4 linked regions of the Drosophila melanogaster genome follow. The gene in region 3 interacts genetically with the main gene of each other region. Each region holds a gene or a part of one and is shown on either strand. Other genes may lie near its edges. The genes, in order: klu, Act5C, ac and Amun.

What was found.
Region 1: of ac (region 3) and klu, changing one enhances a phenotype caused by changing the other (phenotypic enhancement), as found in Drosophila melanogaster (one study listed by BioGRID).
Region 2: of ac (region 3) and Act5C, changing one enhances a phenotype caused by changing the other (phenotypic enhancement), as found in Drosophila melanogaster (one study listed by BioGRID).
Region 4: of ac (region 3) and Amun, changing one suppresses a phenotype caused by changing the other (phenotypic suppression), as found in Drosophila melanogaster (one study listed by BioGRID).

What each region holds. Positions count from the first base shown.
Region 1 is NT_037436.4:11,006,133-11,011,162, forward strand, and holds the start of klu (klumpfuss), read right to left. Parts: upstream 3,057-5,030; 5' UTR 2,218-3,056; intron 1-2,217.
Region 2 is NC_004354.4:5,898,636-5,906,020, reverse strand, and holds Act5C (actin 5C), read right to left. Parts: upstream 5,161-7,385; 5' UTR 5,008-5,160; intron 4,040-5,007; exon of another isoform or gene 3,925-4,039; intron 3,332-3,924; 5' UTR 3,324-3,331; coding exon 2,193-3,323; 3' UTR 622-2,192; downstream 1-621. Other genes in the region: CG4020 (uncharacterized protein), read right to left, coding at 10-64. UniProt on the Drosophila melanogaster protein: Actins are highly conserved proteins that are involved in various types of cell motility and are ubiquitously expressed in all eukaryotic cells.
Region 3 is NC_004354.4:368,133-371,510, reverse strand, and holds ac (achaete), read right to left. Parts: upstream 1,481-3,378; 5' UTR 1,418-1,480; coding exon 812-1,417; 3' UTR 564-811; downstream 1-563. UniProt on the Drosophila melanogaster protein: AS-C proteins are involved in the determination of the neuronal precursors in the peripheral nervous system and the central nervous system.
Region 4 is NC_004354.4:11,709,463-11,717,063, forward strand, and holds Amun (amun), read right to left. Parts: upstream 5,569-7,601; 5' UTR 5,096-5,568; exon of another isoform or gene 5,013-5,095; intron 4,856-5,012; exon of another isoform or gene 4,778-4,855; intron 4,750-4,777; exon of another isoform or gene 4,560-4,749; intron 4,386-4,559; exon of another isoform or gene 4,347-4,385; 5' UTR 4,293-4,346; exon of another isoform or gene 4,227-4,292; 5' UTR 4,103-4,226; coding exon 3,307-4,102; intron 2,905-3,306; coding exon 2,048-2,904; 3' UTR 658-2,047; downstream 1-657.

The sequences.
Region 1 (5,030 bases), on a different chromosome or scaffold from region 3:
GTCGGGGATCGGCATTAACCGCAGATCCCAAAGGTGTTAAGTCACTTGGCAACTGTGACAGACATGACAGTCTTTGTTTTATTGTTTAACGCATTTCAATTAACAACTCCAATGATCTGTCTGATTGTTAGATGGCCGATGGTGTGTCTCTTTTAACGCACACGTGATGATTGAATTTTAATTTTCAGCCCAGCAGCTTGGCCAAAAGCTGTGACCCCTTTGAGCTGGGGGTCCACCTCCACAACCTTTTGTGGCATTTTTTCTGAATCGGGCACGACTAATCCAAATCAAATGGCTTCTCCAAATCAATTCGTTTTCAATCGTTTAAAGTTAATTAACGCGCCAGAATTTTATTTCACTTTACACATTCCTCTTTCACTGCTCCCCAAAATCGTCTCCTTTGTTCTGTAACACGCTTTTGTTTTGCTGTAAATTTATTTTATGTTTTTTCCTTTTAAGCTTTTTGTTTTTTTTCCCTTTATTGTGTGCATTTTCACTGTTTTTTATTTTATTTTGTATTTTTTCTGAGTTTTTTTGTGTTTTTTTTTTGTATTTCGCTCAACGTCTCAATTTCAATGCGCGCTCTTTTGTTGTTTGTATTAAAATTGTTAATTTAAGGCTGTGTCAGAAATAAATTAACCACTGAACCAGGGACCTTAACTCGACCAAACACAGTATATATGGCGTTATTTTCTTTTTTTTTTTTTATTCCGCCCTGTTTCTAGGGAAGGGAGCCGCCACCAGGAGCACCTAGGTGCTTTTGTGTGGAAAATGCAAATTGCCATTGACATCGGGGTCTGAGAAATGGCGTCGTGCGGGTGAGACTCCAACCAGCGAACCACCTGAGACACCATCGCCACCATTGCCCCCCAACTGCACCACCGATGGAAGCCACCGAGTGGCTCCGTCTGTTTTATATGCCAAATGCAGTGGGACAGCGGCAGACGTCGCCGTTCGTCATATAAGGTGCGGTGCGTATAAGTCAGCCGCGTTGGAGGAGCAGAGAAAAAATCACTCGACATATTGAGAAATGTGCAATAGCCTAATGCCCATTTAAGGCAGCACTTTTCATGGCAAGTTGCATTTATCGCCGATCGGATCGGATCGGATCGGAATCGAAATCGGTTTAGAGCGATCGATCAAGCGTTGTGGCTATTGGCGTTTGGCGTTTGCCAGACAGGTCAAAAGCAAAGCAAACGGATTTTGGTCCAGCACTTGATGCAGTAATCTATGCTAATGGGCAAGTGTAAAACATCGCGGAGCTATTATCGCAGAACTGTTGTTTAAGGAACCAACCACATCGAGCAGATGCCTGTAAATGGTATAAATTACCAATGAATGACATACGATTTAATTGCCTCGACTAAGTAGCAACCGCTAGCAACCAGCAACTTGCAACAAGCAACTAGCAACTAGCAACTTGCAACTTCTGTTGCATACAGATCAGTTGATGTTGTTGCTGCCCGTGTCTCGAGTTGCTGGAATTAATTAATATTGCACTTTTGAAGCGCGTGCATACAAATTTGTCAGCCAGACGGGCAGTTCTTCGGCTCAGGTGTAGACAATTGGCATAGTTCACATAGAGAGAGAGAGAGAGAGAGATAGAGAGAGGGAGTGCAGCCCAGCTCTGCTTTTGGCCAAGATGGGCAATTAAAATTCCCCGAGACTGGCTAAAACTGGAAGTGGGAATCTGGAGCTGCAACTGGATGTGAGGAAACTGGGGCTAAGGGTCCTAGTACTATCTTTCTACCAGGCTCTCTATCTCACTCGCTTTTGTGTGCGTCAATTTGCCAGGCACACGATCTGCAGATCGGCGATGTCAAGTTGCTGCTGCGATTGACGTCAATATAGATAGAGTCAATATGGCATGGGAGTGAGATGAGATTGGGATGATGATGATGATGATGATGATGATGATGTGGATGATGCCACTGGAGGGGGCCCGTGCTGATATGGACTCATCATCAGTCCATCATTCATGGGTGCAATCGATTGCAGCACACACATACATATGTACATATGTATATAGCATATAGCCGCCGATCTGATATTACGCTGAGTGTTATGGTAAACCGATCCTATTCGTAACTGGAGCTCAGCTTTTGACACATTTCGACCAACCAAACAGCACAGCTGAGATGGCACTTTATAGTTTTTTTTCTTTCGGCTGTCCAAATGACTAAGCCGTCGGCAAATTGAGCGATCTCGCGAACTCACCTTTAATTTTTTTTTTTTTTTTTGTAGGAGGGGAATTATCCAAGCATTATCCAATTTGTAGCTTTTGCCTTCGGGGTGGCAAAACACATTTAACAAATATTTTTTAGGCTGCGTTGTGTAAACTCTAATTGCTAATATCAAAATATCACACTTCTTTTATTTTTATGTATTATTTGTGCTTATGCTGCGTTTGCGTGTTTGGCTTATTGTGTGTTTTGCGGCTTTAATTGATTTATATTACTTAATGGGCTGTTAAGACACACACTTTTCACTTGATTTTAAATGATTTGGCGAGTTTAGTTTACGGATTTCTAGGCGTTTAGATACTTTGCAGCTTGCCACTATTAGATTTCGAATTGCTGTTGTTGCACGCGCGATCGTTATTGTTGCAGTTGCAGTTGCAGTTGCAGTTTTGGGCTGCAGTTTCGTGCTGTCGTGTTTCGCGGTCTCGTCGCGTCAACGTGCGAATAACAAATAACGAAAACGTACGAAAAGATTTTCACTGCAAGAGGTTGGTTTTCCCGACGTGGCGTCGTCGTCGGCGTCGGCAGAGCTTCGGCAGCAGCGACGGCAACACCGAACCACCAAGACCTATCCAAACCAACCACTGAAACTCTCTTCGCGGAGAGAGAGAGAAAGAGAGTTTTTTGTGTGGCGGGTTGGAGGGGGAGTCTGTAAGCGCACTGCGAAGATTACGTTACGTTCGGATATATTTTCTATATATTTTTCTTTTTTTTTGGGTCCGAAAAAGACGCGTCTTGGTTATTCAGCACTGAAGAATTTGCGGCAGCGCGTGCGGAGCGTCGATGAACCTGAACCGACACTGCCCAGCAAGAAACTGACTTCTGAGTAGAGTCGCCACTCGTACAGCGACGATACCAGGCACCAATACCATCGCACCGAGAGACACCCACACCGAGGCAAACAGGCGGCGGTATCTGTGTGTTAGTGCCGACTGTTGGCCTCTCATTCGCCGGATAAAGTCGCGAGAGAGCGAGAAAGAGCAGCACGTGCAGTGGAGATTTCTCTAGTTCTTTTTTTTTTTTTTGTGTTCCGCTTTTCTCGGTGGGAGCTGCTCGAAGAGCTTCTCCTCCCACTCTCCGCCCGCCCGAGCAGTTGTTGTTTATGGCTGCGTGGGCTTCTAATTGCTCAAAACTCTATGCCAATGGGGGCACTCGGCTGCATTTGGCGCTTTTGGGTCGCCAGTTGCGAGTCGAGCTCCGAATAGGCACCTCCCACTTCCACCGACTGGCGTTATATAACATCGAATGCGAAGATAAGCTAACGAAATCCGAATCCAAGCGGATGTCTTTTCCACTGTCTTGCAGAAGGCGAAGGCAAATAGAAGCAGCGCTCGTTGAATCCTTTGGGAAGTTGGCCGGCTTTTAGGTCACTTTTCGCATCCTTCGAGCAATATATGTCACTTAATTGAGCCCTTTCTTCTTAATACAGCATTTCATTTTCATTTGAGTTCTAAACTAAACTAAACTTACATTGCTCAGAAGCCAAAAAATTTTGATTTATGCGTTTAGTACTTTATCGACTTTAAGGGCCTTCTAATCTTAGAAACAATTACAAAACAATTTCAAATATATAATTTATTAAAATGTTTTACAAATAGTAATAGCAGCGTTTTTAGTTACAGTTTAAAACTCAAACATTCTCTAAAGCAAAAATGTAAATTCAATACTTTTTGATTGAAATTTAATTAGTCTAGTTTTTAATAATTCTTGGCTTTGAACTTATTTTCTTTTAAAAATAATATAATATTCTTAATTGGAACTCTTTTTTGTTTAACTTCGCAAAAAAATTAAAGCGCTACAAAATGATCTAAAATATATATTTGTTTAATTTTAGACTTTCATTTGTACCCATGAAGTTATTTTTGTCTAACATGCATATAAGCCAACTTGCATTATAAGAAAATCGCAGTTGACTGATTTTGAGCCGCATTGAAGGCCCGGATAAAATCGTCGGATAAACTCTCTCACCTATACCACACACACGTTTCGCTCGCACACAGATACAGTTTCGGTCTCTCTCTCTGCGCTCGTGAGAATCGAAATGCCGGCAAAACAACTTCACAGATACGATATCTGAACTTGAAATGCCGATGCACGAGAGAGAGAGAGAGCGCGCTCTCTCTCTCTTTGCACACCGTGTGTGCGGTTGTGTGTGTGGCGCAGCTGCCGAGGTGTCAGTGTATCTGTGTGCGCCTCCATCCAGGTGTGTATGTGTGTGTTTACAAAACAAAACTGAATTGAGAAAAAACCAAAAAAAAGAAAAAACAAAGCAAAAGCATGCCAAGGCAGCAACAACACAATTTGTGAATGAACGAATAGTGGCGCACTCACACACACACGCACACGCAGATACTCAACCCACACCACTATCTCTAAGTGTGTGTGTGTGTGATTGTGGGCAGGGAAAATAAACGCGTTTACGCGATTCGTACAAAATTCGTGGGTCTTTCAAAAAAGAGAAGCACTGCAAAGAGCCAAAAGTGAACGTAGGTGTTTGGCTATAAGTTATATGCCACATGCTTATTGGTATTATACATATGCACGTATATTTCATATGCAGATGTATGTATGTATGTATGTATGAGTGATTAAAATGAGACGGCGACAAAAGAAACGAAACCAAAATGGTGTAGGCCAAGTGATCGGAGATCGGCGATCGGCGAGATACATATATCCATAGCGATAGCGAAGGTGTTTTTTTCATGGGGCATTGGAGGGGAGAAAGGGAAAATGGGAAGTCAGCTGCCAACACAATCCGCAGGTTGACATCGCTGATTTGTTGATTAAGTC
Region 2 (7,385 bases), 5.5 Mb from region 3:
AATACCCACCGGAGGCGCCGGTCACGAATATTTCCTGATCCTCGAAAGCTTCCGGTATGGTCATGGTGGTTCGGTTGTTGGTCTCCCGGGTTTTCGATGTCGTATATCAATCCGCACGTGTCGCTGCTCCAAGTGCTTCTGTGCGAAGTACGGCGGACTCAAGGCGGGAATATTGAAATCCGGCCAATCGCGCTGCTGACCCTTGGCCAAAAGGGATCACATCGCTGAATATTCAGTTGGTAGGCTCATACTTTGTAAGCGTAGAGTGCGATACCCTGTAGATAGTGGGGAAGCAACACATCGCATCATATTCACATAGAAACCGCAGGTATGACCAATCTTAGTCCTAGAATACTATTTTATACTACATATTTCTATATTTTTATTGCTTTACTCTTAATTTGTGATGTTTTTAATGAGACCTACTAATTATTCGAACATTTGGGCATACGAATATCGAAAAAAAACACTAACTACATATGTATTTATGTATGTATTACATATGTATGTATATTTAAACCGCTCAAGGTGCTACGAAATCCGTTGTGAACAAAAAACAAAGGAGAACGTCTAGAACGCAAGAAGAAGAAGATGAACGAGATCAACAAAAACGGAACCGTTGAAACTCAAGAATCAAAGGAGAAAGCACAGAAAGATAACTTTTACCGTAGCATCCGAGCGCCAAATCAAGCAGAGCCCATAATTATACTGGCAGAAATGATATCGAAGTCGAACTAATATATAAGCAATATAATAAAAATGTATTTAAATAATATAATATCTATGTATATTTGTACGTGTAAGTCTATAAAGTAAGTCTATAAATCCCAATTCGCACCACTTTCTTTCCGGTGCACTGCATTGCCCGTGCGAGTCAGAGAAAGATGGAAAGATGGGTGCTCCTCCTCTTTGGCCGCATGAATGGAAAATGTTTGGGAAAAACCGGATAAACGGCGCTTGCAGCCGCTGCTTTTGGCCAAACTGGCGGATGAAACTATGCCAGCGATTTGTGTTAGCGTGTTTGCCTTATTATCTCGACTTTTATTTGGATCTTGGCCATTTAAAACGGCACTTTAATCGCATCATTAGCCCGCATGCGTGCGTGCGTGCGAGCGAGACAGCCGCTTGTCGTCGCAGCCTTAGTTCGTCGACCTCGTGCCCTCTTCCTCTTCACCCTTTTCCGAAGCAACCGTTGCAGTAACGGTTGTTAGACAATACACATGTAGCAAATTGTTCGCTTGTTGTTGTTTCATTTCATCAGTTTTTCAGTTGCATTTTCACATTTTAATTAACATTTTCAGGCGTAAACTTATCAATCGATACGCATGCAATTAGAAAAGTGTACAAATAAAAAAAAAATACATATGTATGTATGCTTGTATGCTTGAATGTGTGTGAATATCGCACGCGAAACTGCAGCCAAGTGTGAGTGTGTGTGGGTTATTATTTTGCCGGCCGGCAAAAATGTGGAAGAGAGACAGACAAAAAGATGAGAGAGGAGAGGGCGAGGTTAGCAGCAGAGAGCGAGGAGAGCGGGAGAAAGAGAAGACAGATTTGATTTTCCTTTTTGTTTTCATATTTTTGTTTCACTTTGTTTATAATTACATCATAATTAAAAAATAATACATAAGGTTGCTGACGAATTGTACAAAACGCTAGTGTGTTGTTTGTGTTTTGCAATGTGTGTGTGTTCTTTTTGCGCTTTGGGAAATATCTTCTTTAAGTTCTTCTTTATCTTGATGTCCTTGTCATGCCGCGAATGTGTGTGTGTAAGCTTGTGGGTGTGCGTGTGTTGGGTGTTGTTGGTGTGTGTGTGGAATGGCAGAATATGCATTTTCGCTCATTTTCATTTTTTGTAGTTCTTGTTATATTAAAGGTTTACAAATAAAAAAAAAACAAAAAATACATAGTATATCATATCATATCTCATGTGGAATAAATTAATTATATTAATACGCTGGAACCACACAACATGCGCCCAAAACGATGATGATAATGATGATGGTGTGCAGGTGGTTCCGCTCTTTTCATCTTGTAGTTGGTGTTGTTGTTGATTTTGTTGTGCTGCACTCCAAACTTCCACCACTCGCACTTGCACTTTCGCTGCTGCTTCCTCGACTTCTCCTCCTCCTCCTCCAGCAGAATCAAGACCATCCCGATCCTGATCCTCTTGCCCAGACAAGCGATCCTTCTTAGAAGCACTTGCGGTGCACAATGGAGGGGCCGGACTCGTCGTACTCCTGCTTGGAGATCCACATCTGCTGGAAGGTGGACAGCGAAGCCAGGATGGAGCCACCGATCCAGACAGAGTACTTGCGCTCTGGCGGGGCAATGATCTTGATCTTCATGGTCGACGGTGCCAGGGCGGTGATCTCCTTCTGCATACGGTCGGCGATGCCAGGGTACATGGTGGTGCCACCGGACAGCACGGTGTTGGCATACAGATCCTTACGGATATCCACATCACACTTCATGATGGAGTTGTAGGTGGTCTCGTGGATGCCGCAAGCCTCCATTCCCAAGAACGAGGGCTGGAACAGGGCCTCGGGGCAGCGGAAACGCTCGTTGCCGATGGTGATCACCTGTCCGTCGGGCAGCTCGTAGGACTTCTCCAACGAGGAGCTGCTGGCAGCGGTGGCCATCTCCTGCTCAAAGTCGAGGGCAACATAGCACAGCTTCTCCTTGATGTCACGGACGATTTCACGCTCAGCGGTGGTGGTGAAAGAGTAACCGCGCTCGGTCAGGATCTTCATCAGGTAGTCGGTCAAATCGCGACCAGCCAGATCCAGACGCAGGATGGCATGGGGAAGGGCATAACCCTCGTAGATGGGCACGGTGTGGGAGACACCATCGCCGGAGTCCAGAACGATACCGGTGGTACGACCGGAGGCGTACAGCGAGAGCACAGCCTGGATGGCCACATACATGGCGGGTGTGTTGAAGGTCTCGAACATGATCTGGGTCATCTTCTCACGGTTGGCCTTGGGGTTCAGCGGGGCCTCGGTCAGCAGCACGGGGTGCTCCTCGGGTGCCACACGCAGCTCATTGTAGAAGGTGTGGTGCCAGATCTTCTCCATATCGTCCCAGTTGGTCACGATACCGTGCTCAATGGGGTACTTCAGGGTGAGGATACCACGCTTGCTCTGCGCCTCATCACCCACGTACGAGTCCTTCTGGCCCATGCCGACCATCACACCCTGGTGACGGGGACGTCCCACAATCGATGGGAAGACGGCGCGGGGAGCATCGTCTCCGGCAAATCCGGCCTTGCACATGCCAGAGCCGTTGTCGACAACCAGAGCAGCAACTTCTTCGTCACACATTTTGTAAGCTGCAATGGAAAGAATGCGGATTTCCCATTAGTTTTTGGTTACCTTATTTGGTAATGTAGAAATGGCAAAAAAAAAACTGAGAATTTGCGTGGTTTCCTTGGACTGCGCTGGTCTACCAAAGTACAATTGTCATAACAAACTAACTTGTTTTTCGTGTACAATTAAAAATCACTCAATGCAATGTACGTTTTTTTAGTACAAAATTTTAATCTTGGACAAAAAAAATTTCATAAAAAAATACTTTTCCGATTGAAAACTGATTTTCACTTGCGATCGAATTGTAATAAGAAATTAAAAGAACAGTTACAAAATAGAAGGCCCCGCCCCGAAAAATTAAAACCACAATACGAATATGCCGAAAAGGGAGGGGAGAAGCTTCTAGACGACACTTAACGAATGCCGGTGCAAAAGAAAGCCGCAAAGAGAGCACAGTTGCCTGTGTGTATGCGCCCTTAAAATGGCGGCTGCCTAAAACTCGAATTGGAACCCGAAATTAACATTACAAAATAAAAAAAAAAAAAAACACTAAACGCACTCTAGAAAATTTAACAATTAAGAGCCACGAAACTTTTCAAAGCTAGTTAAACTTTACCTTTTTGTTCGATTTAACAAATTCAAGGCGTGAAAACTACTGTAAACGCAAGTGGCGAGGCTGAGCTAAGCGACCGCACGGTTTGAAAGGAATGACTGGAATAAACCGACTGAAAGTGGCTGGTGAATGTTGAATGCCAGTTAACTGCGTTTTTCAATCGCTGCCTGCGTCGACGTCGCCATAGGCGTCGCTCGCTCTCGCCATCTCGCTCGCTCCGCGCCATGGTCGCTATGGGTGCGAAGGAGAGCGCTGGTGTGTTGAATTGCGGCGGCCAAGTTTTGTGACCATATATGGTCATGTTTCGAGGCGAAAAGCAAACCGTCGTCTGGCTTTCGCTCTCTCACACACACATACACTCTCTCTCGTTATTTTGCGCGTGAGTGTGTGTATATGAACGAATGCTCGAAGGTTTTCTCCATTTTTGCAACTACAACTTTGAAAAACCGGCAAAAATTTCTGCTTCAGCCAAAACGGCTGCCTACGTCACTATTTTCAAGAACCTGATCTAGTTTTACAGATTATAATATGCATATACTGTATGTATGTACATTTATGGATGATCTGGTGTTTTAGGGCGTGGGAAAAAAAGAAAGTGTTGGCGAATTGATTTGCAATTCGTAATTTGGCATATCTTTGGGTGAAATCGTGACACGCCCACATCAGCGAGCTTGGCTTTAAACACTATATTAGATCCTAACATTTGAGTTGGGGCTATTGAATTGCTTTGGTTTTTATAATTTCGTATAATTTGTATGTATATATCCTGAAATCTGCAGTTGTAATCCTGATTCTTGAGTTATGGTATTTGAAACCCTGGTTTTGTTAATTTTGATGTCTTTCGACCTATTGGTATTTTGATTGACAATTTAGGGCCAAACTTGGGTATTTTTGGAGTTTTGGTCAATACAATAACTCTTTAGCTCGTGGCTAGTATTTTTTGATCACTTTCAGCACTGGCACATAAAAAAATGTTTTGTTTACAAAAAAAATCACACATTTTCCGCGGCTTTTCTCGATTATTGCTTTTTCTTGGTGGGAGTGGTTCGATGGTGTTTTGTTGTTGGGAAGGGGAAAGCTACTTACATTTGGTGTGTTTTATTAAAATTAATTAAATAAATATAAATTAAGTCTTTCGGTTTGGTGTCTCTGGATTAGACGACTGCTGGCTGATGGAGCGGCTTTGTGTCGGGAGGAGTATCCACACAGCACAAGAACTCAAACGGTAGTGATATGAAAACTGGTCCCGCAGCCCGTTTTATAAAGCCCGCTTAGCGCTAAAACCTTATCAGCCGCAATGCTCTCCGCTCTCAAGTCGCGTTCAAAACTTTTACCATATATGGGTATGAATTGTTCGCCGATTGGGTTTTCATTTACGGAGAATTTCCTCCGCAACTGGGTGTTCGTGCTTGTGTGTGTCTTGTATATCGCCATGAAGAGTGTACTTCCATGGGTCCTATCAGTTGCGGCATGTGATTCAATTTGGGGGTTACTCATATTCGATACTTCAGCTGGTTATCTTTATGCTGTGATGGTCACGGTGCTTTTACACATTTTTTCCCCAACTACTCATTGTATGCCAAAACATACATATGTACATGTGTTTATAGTGGGTTTATTAGTAATGTCCAGCGATATTAAAACATTACAGTTAAATAATATTCATATTAGCTTACGTTTACTGCTATCTGCACTTCAAATTGGTTATTCCAGGGACATTTTGTGCAACACACATCTTCTAGTAGGGCATTCACTAGTCGTAGAAAACACACCTAACTTAAGCCGGTTTTAACAATAACGGCGAAACAGCTGCCAGACGAGAGAAAAGTACACAGCAAGAAGCATTTCTATAATGATGCCGTCCTAAATATGCAGCATTTTTGCTCAAATTGATCATTTCGTTGCATCGCTCAGGTGGTATAGTATTTGGCTATTGAATGTGATTGCTATCTTAATAGTTTTGAATAGTAATAGTGCAAATATTCATTCATAAAAAATAGGTAATCGATTTTTTCAGTGCAGTCTATGCGTTTGCGCAACAGAGACGAAGAGAGAGACGCCTCACACACAAGCACATGCGGTCTAAGCTGCTCTCCCTCTTTTTCTCTCTCTCTCTGGCTTGCGGCAGTTTTCCAGAGGCTGTGACTCAGTAAGCATTTCTTGTTGTTACCCTAACGATAAGCGTCCGATTCCTAATTCTCTTTCAAATAATTTGTTTTATTTTTTTTTTTGTGTGTTTTGAAGTCAAACAGCTTCATAAACAATATTAAATATCGCAATTGTTATTGCAAATGCATTCGTATCAGGCGCCTTGATGTTTTTCGCCAAAACTTCGTCTGCTCTTTGTCAGCGTAATTGCGTTTGCCGGTCGTGCCGTCTTGCTCGCACGCGGCTTGCAAACAAAAAGTGAAAGAGGGAAAGCCACCTGTGTTGTTGCTTTTGTTGCTATCGTTGGCTGCACACACATGGCAATAAGTAACCATATTGTAGACTTATTTATTTTAGCGTTTTCGTTGACTAATCTTTGTTTAAATAATTGCCTATTTCGAGCCAAAATGACGCATAAAAGGAAACGGCAACATGCGGTGCGTTGAGCATGCGTAAGCGAGATGGCGCTAGAGAGAGCGCAGCATAAAAAGAAAAAAACAACCGGCGAGTGGCGAGACACGAATAATACACACACGCACACATGGTCAAAGGAGTGGCTCCAACGTCGGTGACGTCGCGCCCAGCCACAGACCCCGCCACGCCCCGCCCCACCCTTCCTTCCGCTGCCCCGCACCCCTTTCCTTCCACTACCGTTTTGCCGCATTTGGTATTGCCATCTCGCTTTTTTGGCTTTACTTTGCTTTTTGAATAAGCCAAGAAACTGAAATCAAAGCGGACAGTCCGAAAATTGAATATTCCAAAAAACAACAATTGCACATGCACTGCGTTCGGCAAAAGACGCAGAAATTCAAGCCTTTTGGTCTGGCATCATCTTAAAATATCATCAGTATCATCATTGCCATTATAAATACATAAGAAAATGAGAATACATTAAAGGTATTTATTTTACAAACGCTTTACTTTATAAAAATACAACTATTATCGGAAAGCAATGCAAAATATGCCACTTAATTCCAGTTCTTTGTCATAGTCAACATATTTTGCAACAAAATTATCTATAGATAACATGTTTTTGTAGAAAATTCCACTAACTGATTTTCGTATAAATACAAATTATTCTCATTCTTCAAAATACTCGCCGACGTCATCGCGAAATTCCTCAGCATTCTTCGACAAATGAAGAGAGACAGCGAGTGACACAATCTTATCTTGCCGACGAGTCTTTGAAAATGGCCCCGGGTAACGGTGAAAAACATATAGCCAAGAATGGAGCGATCGCCAGGCGATGGAAATTGGCTTCAAATTGCTCCGAATATGGCCAGTTGGTCAGTTGGCATTGGATTGTGGAGAGATAC
Region 3 (3,378 bases):
ACGTTGTCGGGGGCGATCTGAACAATTGCCGACCGTTGTTTTTTCGCTTGTTTCGGCTGCATTGCGGGAATAACTCAAAATTAGTTCATTCATCGATCGATCGATCGATCTCTCCGGAATTGTGAATTCTCAGGATCTTATTACCTTGACCGGTTCATATGCAAAAATGCAGCAGGTAAATATTTTGCCTTTTTCACCCTACTCAATCCAACTTTATTTATGCAAATCGGCGTTTTCGATCAAAAGTGTTTACAAAATGTTATTGTAATTTATCTTCATTGGCTAGTGATCTGTAAATACTTAACGGTTACAGTTTCGAATACTTTTTTCGGGCTTACCCCGAATAAAGCGTATACTAGGATCGTTTAAAGGAATGTACCAGGTAAAAGGAAGCGTGTCCTGTGGTATACAGGACAGGATCAAGTTTGTATCAAAACATTGCTACGCCCATATTCATAAAGCATTTGTTCATTAAAACTTTTCTGAATTTTACTCCTTTTGTACATAAATTTGTTTCACTTTAATTACCGTTTAATTTTGTTTACAATAAAAACTCATTTAAAATTTTATATATATCAGTTTAATGTCCTCAATGTATGCTATAAAAAAAAACTTAAATATAAATTGTCTTCCATTAGAAACTATCCTTAGAAACTATATAAAACCTTAAATACTAATTTATAAGGCAAAAAGGTAGTTCTAGGGAATATAAATACTTTGTGGCTGAGGTAATACTTGTTGGCCAATCAATGGTTTGATGTGTGTTATGGTTGGGTGCGACTAGCAATAGCTGAAGATTTGATCTGTTTTTTTACAGGTCGTCCTGCCAGAGTGATATATAGTCGAGGATGTCCTCATCTTCAGTACCAGAACTGCAGGAATTGTTACGGTAGTCTTCAAAACTGGCTTCCAACTTGGTATGAAAATTGTTAGGAGGTGTTGCTCCCGGAATCGTCGATGTTGCTGGCTTGCAATAAGAGCTAATGCTGTTGCAGGAACTTGTGCTGCCAGTTGGAGATTGCAACTGCAACTCTTGGTGCCAGGCGTATAAGTGTTGATGCTGTTGCTGCTGCTGAAAGTGCAAATGTTGCTGCTGCAAATGCAACTGTTTCTGTTTCTGCTGGTCGTTTTCATGAAGAACTTTCTGCAAGCGCCGTATGTACTCTACTGCCATTTTCAGTGTGCTAACTTTGCTCAGTTTTTTATTGGCGCCGGGACCAATTCCCCGGCGACCATTGCTTAAATCGGCTATTACGGCCGCAGGGATATGTTGTCGTAGTTGGCTGAAGCCATTGTTGACCTGCTTTACGCGGTTGCGTTCCCGGGCATTTCTCCGGATAACAGAGGGTCCATTAAAGGCCGAAGATGACTCCTCGTCGTCGTTGAAAACAGAGTGATTTTCGCTGCCCAAAGCCATTTTAAGAGATAGTATAACGTTATTGTGTGACGATGCTCCTTGCTTCAGCGCTGGCTCTGTTCTGATGCCCTTCCCCGTTCCGTTCAGGCTATTTATAGGTATCAGGGCCTAGGGATCCCACCTGCGTGACTACCTACCTGCCCCTGGAAAAGGTGCAACAGCATCATCACTGAAGGATCGTCTCTTGAGATGAGTGTTTTCTCTGATTTTAATAGAGAGGTAGTAATATTATCTCTCGTTCTCTCTGTAAAACGCAGCTGTTGGTGACCTGAGTGTTCCCGTTGTCGAGTGGGAAGAGTTTCTGAGTGTTTTTGCTCATTTTCAGCTGCCTGTCGTCCCCAAACGAAAACCTGGCCCTGTCGCGTGCCGGCTGCCAACCGGTTTAAAAAGGCAACAAGGTCCAGACATCAGAGCCAAGTAAAAACACCTCCGAAGTAAAAAGCTGTATCTCCTATTGAAAGTGGCCATCCAATTTGTATAACTAACAAAATACAACAAAATTAGTGGAATAGACTGTCATTACAATTATAAAAATGGGGACATTTACAATTTATACACTACCAAAAGTGTTTACGAAAAAATAATCTTTAATTAACAAGGCTAGGTATTTTAGACTTTTAAAAAATCTTTAATTTTATGTTAATACATTTAATTTAATTTATTTTATGTACTGATGACCTTCCGATCCCTGGATCATTCGGACATTATCTTAAACACTAGACCATTGTCGCTCGAATCCAAAGTCGTAGGAATTTTCAAGGCCAGCTCATCAACACCTCAGGCGGCGATCCATTCGGTCCTGCAACGAAACCTGATCAGCCGGAGGCACTTTTCTATTAACACTTCTAATGCCCCGGGGCCTTTATGCCCAACGTATCAGTTGTTGTTCCTCTCAGCCGAAAGCATTTTGAAAGCATTTAGGAGGTCCCCATTATTTCTTAAAACCATTGTCAGAATTCTGGTTGCACGCTAGGAAACCGTGCCGAAATAGATTTGTATTGGCACTAACTCACACTGAGCCTCGTTTAACACTTCGTTGCTGTAGCCCCGGGGGATTGCATAGCATTACATGTGAAAAGGACATCACAGGGCATCTAAGCACAGACATACCAGATGTCCAGAGGCTAATAAAATCAAACATATCCGGTCGACCTTGCAAAATCCGTGTTGATGTAATATAAATTTGCCGCGAAGCATTGAGACAAGGTATTCAGTGTCAACCAGGTTTATGAATTTGCAATTTTATTATTATTTTTTGCTTTGAATATCGCTTAGCGCCACAAGTGCTCTTCTTGAGCTTTTCTGCTTGATAACGACTAAATAGTACAATAAATGTTACTAAGACCCTGCGACAGAAAACCGAAAAATCGTGACGGGATAAACTTAAGGGGGGAAGAACTGAGATCTGAATATATGGCGTATCAACCGAATAAAGATGAAGTCGTCATTAATATTGACTCGGTCTGCCGATTACTTGACGTTGTTTCATTTATTCCACACTTCTTAAAGCGGCATGCTTGCGACACAGTAAGGCCTCGATTACAGGACAGCTTCCGTACATTTCAGTACCAATGTTGATCGTACAGGTATTCTAGCCGATAAATGAAAAGTATGTACAAAGTATGTACTCATGTTTATTAGGGTCTTCAAAATTGGGAGCTTAGAACTGTAGAGCCTACGCCTAGGTGCCATTGAATTAAATGTTGCTGCTGAATAAATAAAAAGTCAACTGTCAACTGTTCATGGCCATCAAATTGCCATCCAGAGATTACCGATCTCCGGACGATGAAAGGACGAAAGCCGCCCATGGTTTTGGTTTTGAGTCCCCCAACTTCCCACTCCATATAAATATCTGATTTATGAGAGCAACGCGAATATGTCAACGAAACGATGTCACATCTAAGGTGAGCGTTTTAACGCCGCCAATTCTATTTGGTCGATTTCTTATATCACCACTGGCA
Region 4 (7,601 bases), about 11 Mb from region 3:
GCTGCTCCTGCTCCTCCTCCTCCTCTGGATTCTGCCCTCCGCTCGCCGGGACCACAATCGATCTTCCAGGGGATCAAGGAACGGGGCTCCGAACGGGGGCGGACTCGGAAATGCTCTCTACGTGTACTTCAATGCGGAGCTGTTTCGATTCCGGTGCATAGTCTCAATTAACTCCGATCCGGCCAGCAACCAAGGCGATCCAATGACATGGTCGGCGGGGCTAGGATTCCTCTTCGATTTATAGATATTTTATAAAGGATATATGGACGTATGGGATGGTGGCCAGCTGGAATGCAAGTTTCACGGAGCTCGATCAATGCCAGAATGAAATTGACTGATGGGCCGGTGGTCTATATCGCCGATCGAGTTGGCCAGGTAGTCGTGGCAAGTCAAATTAAGTGCAAAAGTATTCTATATATTTCCGTCCTGTTCTGTGTTTTCTTTTGATTAGCACTAGAGCTGTGTTGTTAGCACACCATGCTATCGATGCATAGACATCGATACATCTGCCCACTTGAAGAGCGTTGCCATATTCGGACGAGCCATTACATTATTTTCGATAAGTCGATGACTAGTTCCAACGGCTCTCGATGTAACGCCTATTCAAACACCAAATGCAAAAACCCCATTGAAGTGATAAAACAATTGAAGATGATTGTGGGATGTTTTCAGTTTTATGCCGTGTTTTCTTAATATTTCACATTTTATTCGCACTTATGCTACTAATAATAAAAATGATTATAATTTTCAGATGTGTTGTTACTTTCAAAGTTCCGACCGATCTGCGAGTGGTATGGGTCGTGGATATCGGGGAAACCACCCGGTACCGGCAACCCAAACCACGCGGAGATCGGACGACCTGCGTCGGGTGCAATTAAGATGCGGGCCGTATGCTTCCGTATCTTCTTTTTTCTCTTTTGGAAATCAAATGAAACGTGATTATCGTATAAATTATAAAAAATTCAGTATATGTAAAGTTAAAAAAAAGTTTTACACATAATATAAATTATATTATTATAATTACGACCACAAAAATTTCTTAGTGTTGAAATGAGTTTTGTTTTGTTTTGTTTCTTCCGAGTGTTTGTGTGTTTATGTGTGTGGGGAGGGGGTGTATTCTGTGTGCGGCGTGTTTTGAGTGAGAGAGATAGAGAGAGAGCGCGAGTTGCTGCGGGTCGACGGTCGAAGGGGGTGGTGGTGGAGTTGGTGGTGGGGGGCTTGGTTTATACGACAAGTTTTGATTTATTATTAAATTTAAATACCTATGTATATAAATTACGTTTCTGTTTATTATAATTATTGTTGTTTCCATCTTAATCATTTTGTTTTCTTTCGCTTTTTATTTTTCATATTTTTTTTTTGTTTTTTGTATGTAGTGGGCAACTGCGGCATTTGTAAATTTCTTTATATTTAAATGTTCCTTTTGACTGTGTAAAAATATCGATTTCCATCTGATCTTGTTTTGTAGTTACTATTCATGTATGCATTTGCTTTTCGTTTTAGTTAAATTACGTTAACGCTGCATTCTGAACTCTCTGTTGCTGCTGATTCTGCTGCTTGTTCTTCGGATTCTTGATCGGATTCTTCTGATTCTTCATCTTGGCGCGCTTTCTATGCTATTGAAATGTTGTTTGTGGTGCTGCTTACTGCCTTCTGGATCGGGATCCTATATTCCGCTCTGATCTGATCGGTTATGTTCATGTTATGTCGGGTTGTGTGTGTCTGTGTTGTGTGTATGAGAGTGGAGTGTGTTGGGTGTTCGCATCTCGTTATATGTTGTATATATATATATATATATGTGTATATATATATATATATAATATATTATATGTATGTATAGTTAGTTGCTTAATAGTAGAATTTCTTGAATGTTGTTGTGGTAAAGTGTAGGTAATGTTGCTCTATGTCTCTATGTCGACTCAACTGCACTACATACATATGTCTTTCCACCGGATACGCGGCGAACCGAAACGTGCCGAGCCGAACCGATCCCCGTTTCTGACCCGCATCCGCATCCGTATCCGTATTTCGTTTCCTCACCTCCGCCTCATTCGCTGCGCAGTTTCTTTAGATCCGGTGACTTCTCCCCCACGCCCACACCCACTCCGCCGGCGTTCTTCAGCTCCATATCGCAGTGCAGGGCAGTACGCTTCTGTCCAATGGCTGGTGCCGAGTCTGCACCCGCTGCTACCGGTGAAACCGCATCCACCGCCTTGTTCGCCGCCAGCTGCTGCAGTTTACTGTCCCTCACAATGCCGTTGCTGCTATTGCTCTCGTCAGCCTCTAGCTCCGCCTCATTATCCTCCTCCTCGTCCAGCTCATCTTCCTCCTCGTCCTCCGCCTCATCCTCATCCTCGTCGCCCAGGACGCCGTTCCCGTTACCATTTCCATTGGCTGGTGCTGCAGTCGCTTTGCTGGCTGGCTGTGGTGCTGCTGTAACCGCTTCCTCTTCTGCCAAAGGAGCAGGCTGACCGTTGTTGGTGATCGAATTGTTAGTTTTGTGGGGCTGGCTCGGCGACTGCTTTTGATTCTGATTCTGGCTCGAGTGCTGTGTGGGAGTCAGGATGGGCAGGCTGTTGGTCTTGGGCGGCGCCTCCTGATTGCTTTCAGAGTCCGAGGCGAGCGGTGTTCCACTCGAACCGATGCCAATGCCAATGTCTAGGGCGATGGGCTCACCGTCCTCTGTGGAAGTGGTGGCCGTTGTCTGTGTGGTGCCATCGTTGTCATCGATGATCGGCTCCTGGGAGGTGGAATCGTTCGAAACAAAGTTGGAGTCACCGTCCTGCAGGGCGGCGCCAACGGCAGCTGCGTTGTTCTTGGCCTCGCCCGACTGTAGAGGCGTCAGAGCAGCCGGGTTGGTGTTCTCATTCTCTGTCTCCGATTCTGTAGCAGTGTTGCGACCGCCTGGGGGATAGAAAGCATTGGATTAGCCATCAATGGTCAATTTGTTAACTCGGCGAACTGCGGTCAGAGTAATCAAACAAAGAAACTCTGTGTTTGAAATTATTAGACATCCTAACACTTTTGAAAAGCTGCCAACAAGTATAAGCTACTGATAATATGTTAAAAGTTAACTATTTTACAGTAGTAACTTTACAATTCCTCCTTTTTATTTAACATGACGCCACGAGTAACGAATAAATTGTAAATTGTAAATTGACCACTAGGCTACTACAAACATAATGTTTAATGGAAAATTCCGGATAGGAAAAATACTTGGTTTCTGGAAAAGACCACTCGGTTTGAGTGTTTTGTTGCAAGGGTGTATACTCAAGCCGCAGTTATCGGATCATCTTAGCTGCTTACCTGCTCCTTGGCTTTCGTCGTCCAAATCAACACCCACACCATCGTTGGTATCGTCGCCATCGAGCACCTTGCTGCTGTTGCCGTTTGTGCTGAGTGAACCGGTGCCAGTGGAGGCGCCGGATCCAGGCGGCGGCATATCGTCGAGCATCTCGGGACTGAGATCATTGGCCACATAGTGTGACCAGAGGGCCAGCTCCACGCGATGAGGCGACCAGTGCGGCGTATCCCCGCCCACCTCCGCATTGAGGCGCTCCACGGTGGCCTGAATGTGATTGACGAAGTTGAGGTACTCCTTGGTGGTGTAATCGATGCCCTCGATCTCTGGTATGGCCATCAGGCACTCGTCGGCCATGAATGGTGCCGAATCGGGAGCTGCGGCTGCCAGCAGTGCACTGGCCATTGTGGTGCCAACGCCCTTGAGGTTCGATAAAGCTGTGATCGCCTGCTCCAGATTGGGCAGCTTGCGGAAGGCCTTCTTTGTCTCCTGGATGACGGCGCGCGGTGTGTTGACCTTGACCAGGTAGGATAGCTGCGGATAGAATTTGCCGCGCGACTGCTTCCACTTCATCGACTGGACGAGCTCATCGTATACCATATGCGCGTCCTTGCCGCGTGCCTTAATCAATTTGGGCAGTTCATTCTGATACCACTGATCCAGGCGGATCAGCTCTTGCGGCTTCTTGCAGCGCTTCTCGGCCTTTAGCTTAAGAACCTGGGGATAGAGCTGGTAGCAGTACTCGAACTGTTTGGTGCTCCCGGTCTCGAAGAACGAGACCGTCGCCTTGCCGTTGGACATCTTCTGCGGATGCGGATGTGTCGTTGTCGCCTGCTAATGATTGGTGGTATCGCTGTATCTCCTTATCGTGGTATCTATCGCCTTGGGGCCCAGGACGTTGGCTGATCCGCAAGTGACCGGCTGGCTATATATGCGGCAATATATGTACTTTGGTGTAAGCTACTATACGCCAAATCAATTTATTGCTTACTGTTTAGTCTCCTGCTTTTCCTGTCCGTTCCGAGCTGCTCCTGTCAACGTACTGCTATTCGTGCGTTGAGAGTTCCCGGCGAGAAAGAAGCGAGTACGTGAGAGACAGAGAGAATGCGAGTGCGAGAGAGGGAGCACGAAGAAGCAGCAACGCAAAGGAGAGTGGATGAAAAGAGAAGAAAAGAGGCACACAATTAGGTTTACAGTTACGATTACATATGCAAGGGGGATCGGTGCGGTGGCATAGGGAGGTAGTTCGATTGATTACTGTTAATGCTGCTGCTGCTGCGGCCGTGTCTCTGTTGTTTGTTGTATTTACTCAATCCGATAATCGCTCACTATTTGCCAAAAATCTGCTCGCTTCCGCCGCCGTTTGCACAGCACACAAATCGAATTTTTACAGTGCTGTCGTCGGGTTCTTTTTAGTCCGCCATGCACTCACACAGTCAAACTGACAGGCACACGGATGGACACACACACACTTACTCAGCACACTCGCTCTCGCACACCCAAAGAGAGCCAGGCGCTCATACACAGGCAAAAACACGCACACAACACACACACTGACTTAAACACGCACACACTTATATACTGAGGCAACAACAGCAGCAGCAGAAAATTTCTTTTTCATCTAGGTTTTCAAAAAAAATACGAACGCGAGCATTAAATAAACGAATGCTACTATTTTTCGCTGTTGTTGTTGTTTGTGCTTTTTTCGTACCTCTTGTCTTTTTGGCAAACGGTGAGAACAGCTTTTCACTAGCGCACTGCACGCACACAGATGAGTGGGTGAACAACAAATACCTTTTAGTTAGTCGCCGCCAGTCTTCCTTTCCGTCCACATCCAAACAACTACTCCAATGCTTTGCTGTTTTTCTGTGTTGCCTCTGCTTTGCTTTGCTTCGCTTCGCCTCTGTGCTTGTGCTGTGCTGCGTGCTTCGTGCTGTGCCCGTGCTGTGCTGCTTCTTCTTCTTCCTCTGCTGTTTCAGTTTCTGCTTTCTGCCTGCAGGGGCGCCGTTGACAACTGACAAATAAAAAGGGGTTACTCTGTTCTCGAAATGAGCACGCCACCGAAGGCACAACAAAAAATTAAAAAGGATCGGAGCGGAGCGATGCAGCTGTGCGATGTGCTGCTAACTCGTGTGACGGGAATTGGGAATTGGGATTGCGAATGGGAATGGGAGGGAATACGAGAAGCGAATATGGGAATGACGAACGACGACGAACCGGGAACAGGAGTTGTCGTTCTATCTCGCCCGCACTCGGTGCCCGAATGTATCTGTATCTCTCTGGCACCCTCGGCGTTCCATTTCATTTTGCCGGCGACGTCCGTGCTCTCTGCCGCCGCTCTGCCATCGCCTCTGCCGCTGCGTTTATGCGCAGTGCGTCATTACACGAATACCTGTTTAAAGCGGAGGCATAAACGCGGCTTTGTCGATCAACATCCATGTTACCGAAACCCATGTTCGAGTTATAGAAACTTCGAGTAACAAATATCTATATTCTAGCAATGTTTACCCTTATTAGCTTAGTTAGTGCAATTATGTTTCATGTTTTTACAAACAGCAGAATGTTTTTAACAATAGTTATCTCTATATTCAGGTCCTTCAATTAAATCAAAAAGGAATGGGTTTTGTGAGTGGGTTGGGCTCCAGTGAGACTTGTTAATAATTTAAGAATTCGCGATATTCTAGTGTAAACAGCGCGTCACTGCATGTTCGCTGCTTTTGTTGTGCCAGTTGCCAGCGACAGCGGCGTCGTGTCATTATTCATATTCATGAGGGGGTGCGTCAGGTTTGCTGAATTTTACTGACTTGTTTGCGCGAACCGAAATTATTTATGGTTCAGCACGAAGAGCGATAGAAATTCATGCATATGTTGTTGGTTGGTTAAAAAGTTGCCCTTACATGCAGTTAAGTGCATATAATTTGTCTACTTGCGCATTTATTAAAAATGCATACATATTAAATAATGTACTTAATTACTCAGCGGTTTGAGGGTTGGAGCATTTACAGATGACACTGTAGTGATCAAATGGTAGCTATACATGTATAAATATCTAAAATATTACAAAACTATTCCAGCGTTCAAGCATTAACTAATTCGAGAACAGCTGCTGGTTCCATAATCGAGTACACACGTGTGCTACTCAAAGTCTAAGCTGAGAGAGCGGTCGAGCGGCAACTTGATATTTAAAAAACAGAACCCTACTTAACAGTCGACTCAAGTTCGATCCCCCCGCAGGTACGCCCCTCAGTTCACCTATCGCTCGTTTGCCTTTGCCGCCATCATTCGCTGTTGCCGTTTTTACCCTATTCGTCGAGCAACATACATAGCAGCTGCAATTTTGCTGTTTCTGTTTGTGGCTTCCATGTGCCTGCCATTCGTTCATTATACCCTTGTATAGAGCATTATCACTTTTTCAGATAGCGGCAATCCTATCTAATACATTATCAATATGATCAATTATATGGTTTCATATGTACTTCAGTGCGATTGGCTTTCCAATTTGATGATCTACTGAAATAAGCTTTTATCAATTGCTGCAAAATCGATCAAGCGAAATTTAATTTATTAGAAAATATTCCACTATAGAGCATCAAAACGTCGGCTAGACCCAGATAGCTTCCTTTTCTCGCGGCGATATGCGTGCGATATATCGCATCGATACTCGATGCGGATGCCCATCTGTTTTGCGACATTTTCCCGCTTTCCCTGTTGCAAAACCCGTTTTTCGAATTATAAATTCGAGTATTTTTTAAAACTTATAATGATTCATTTTCTAAAATCCCCACTGGAGAGCGACATTCGAATTCGTAGTGGTTGAATTTGTATTCTCTCTTTGCCATGACACAGCTGTATGTATTAATCATTCGGTATACAAGCAACTTTTTCGCACAGGCCCCTTTCCAAATCAACTACGTCTCTGTGTGTGCGACTCGCTCGTTTTTGTATTTTGCCATTCTCGCTGTTCACGCACCAATACACACAAGTGGTTGTTCAAAGTTGCCAGATTAACCTTTTACCGGTGCCAGACTGTTTTAAACTTGAAGAGGATGATGTACTTGTACTTATATATTTTTTGTGACTAAAAATTAAATTCTTAAAAAAAAACGAACATAATTCCATTTCATTGTTATTTATTAATATATAGTTCCCCTTAACAACATGTGTATATTTTTTTAAATCGATGATCAGCTGGCCTTGCCTGTCTATCGATTGCCCTTTTTGGCATCTCTAGTCCTATTCATCGAAATTTTATTTTGTATCCGGACGTGGTCCCCCAACACTTTCAGATCTCTCCAAGCGT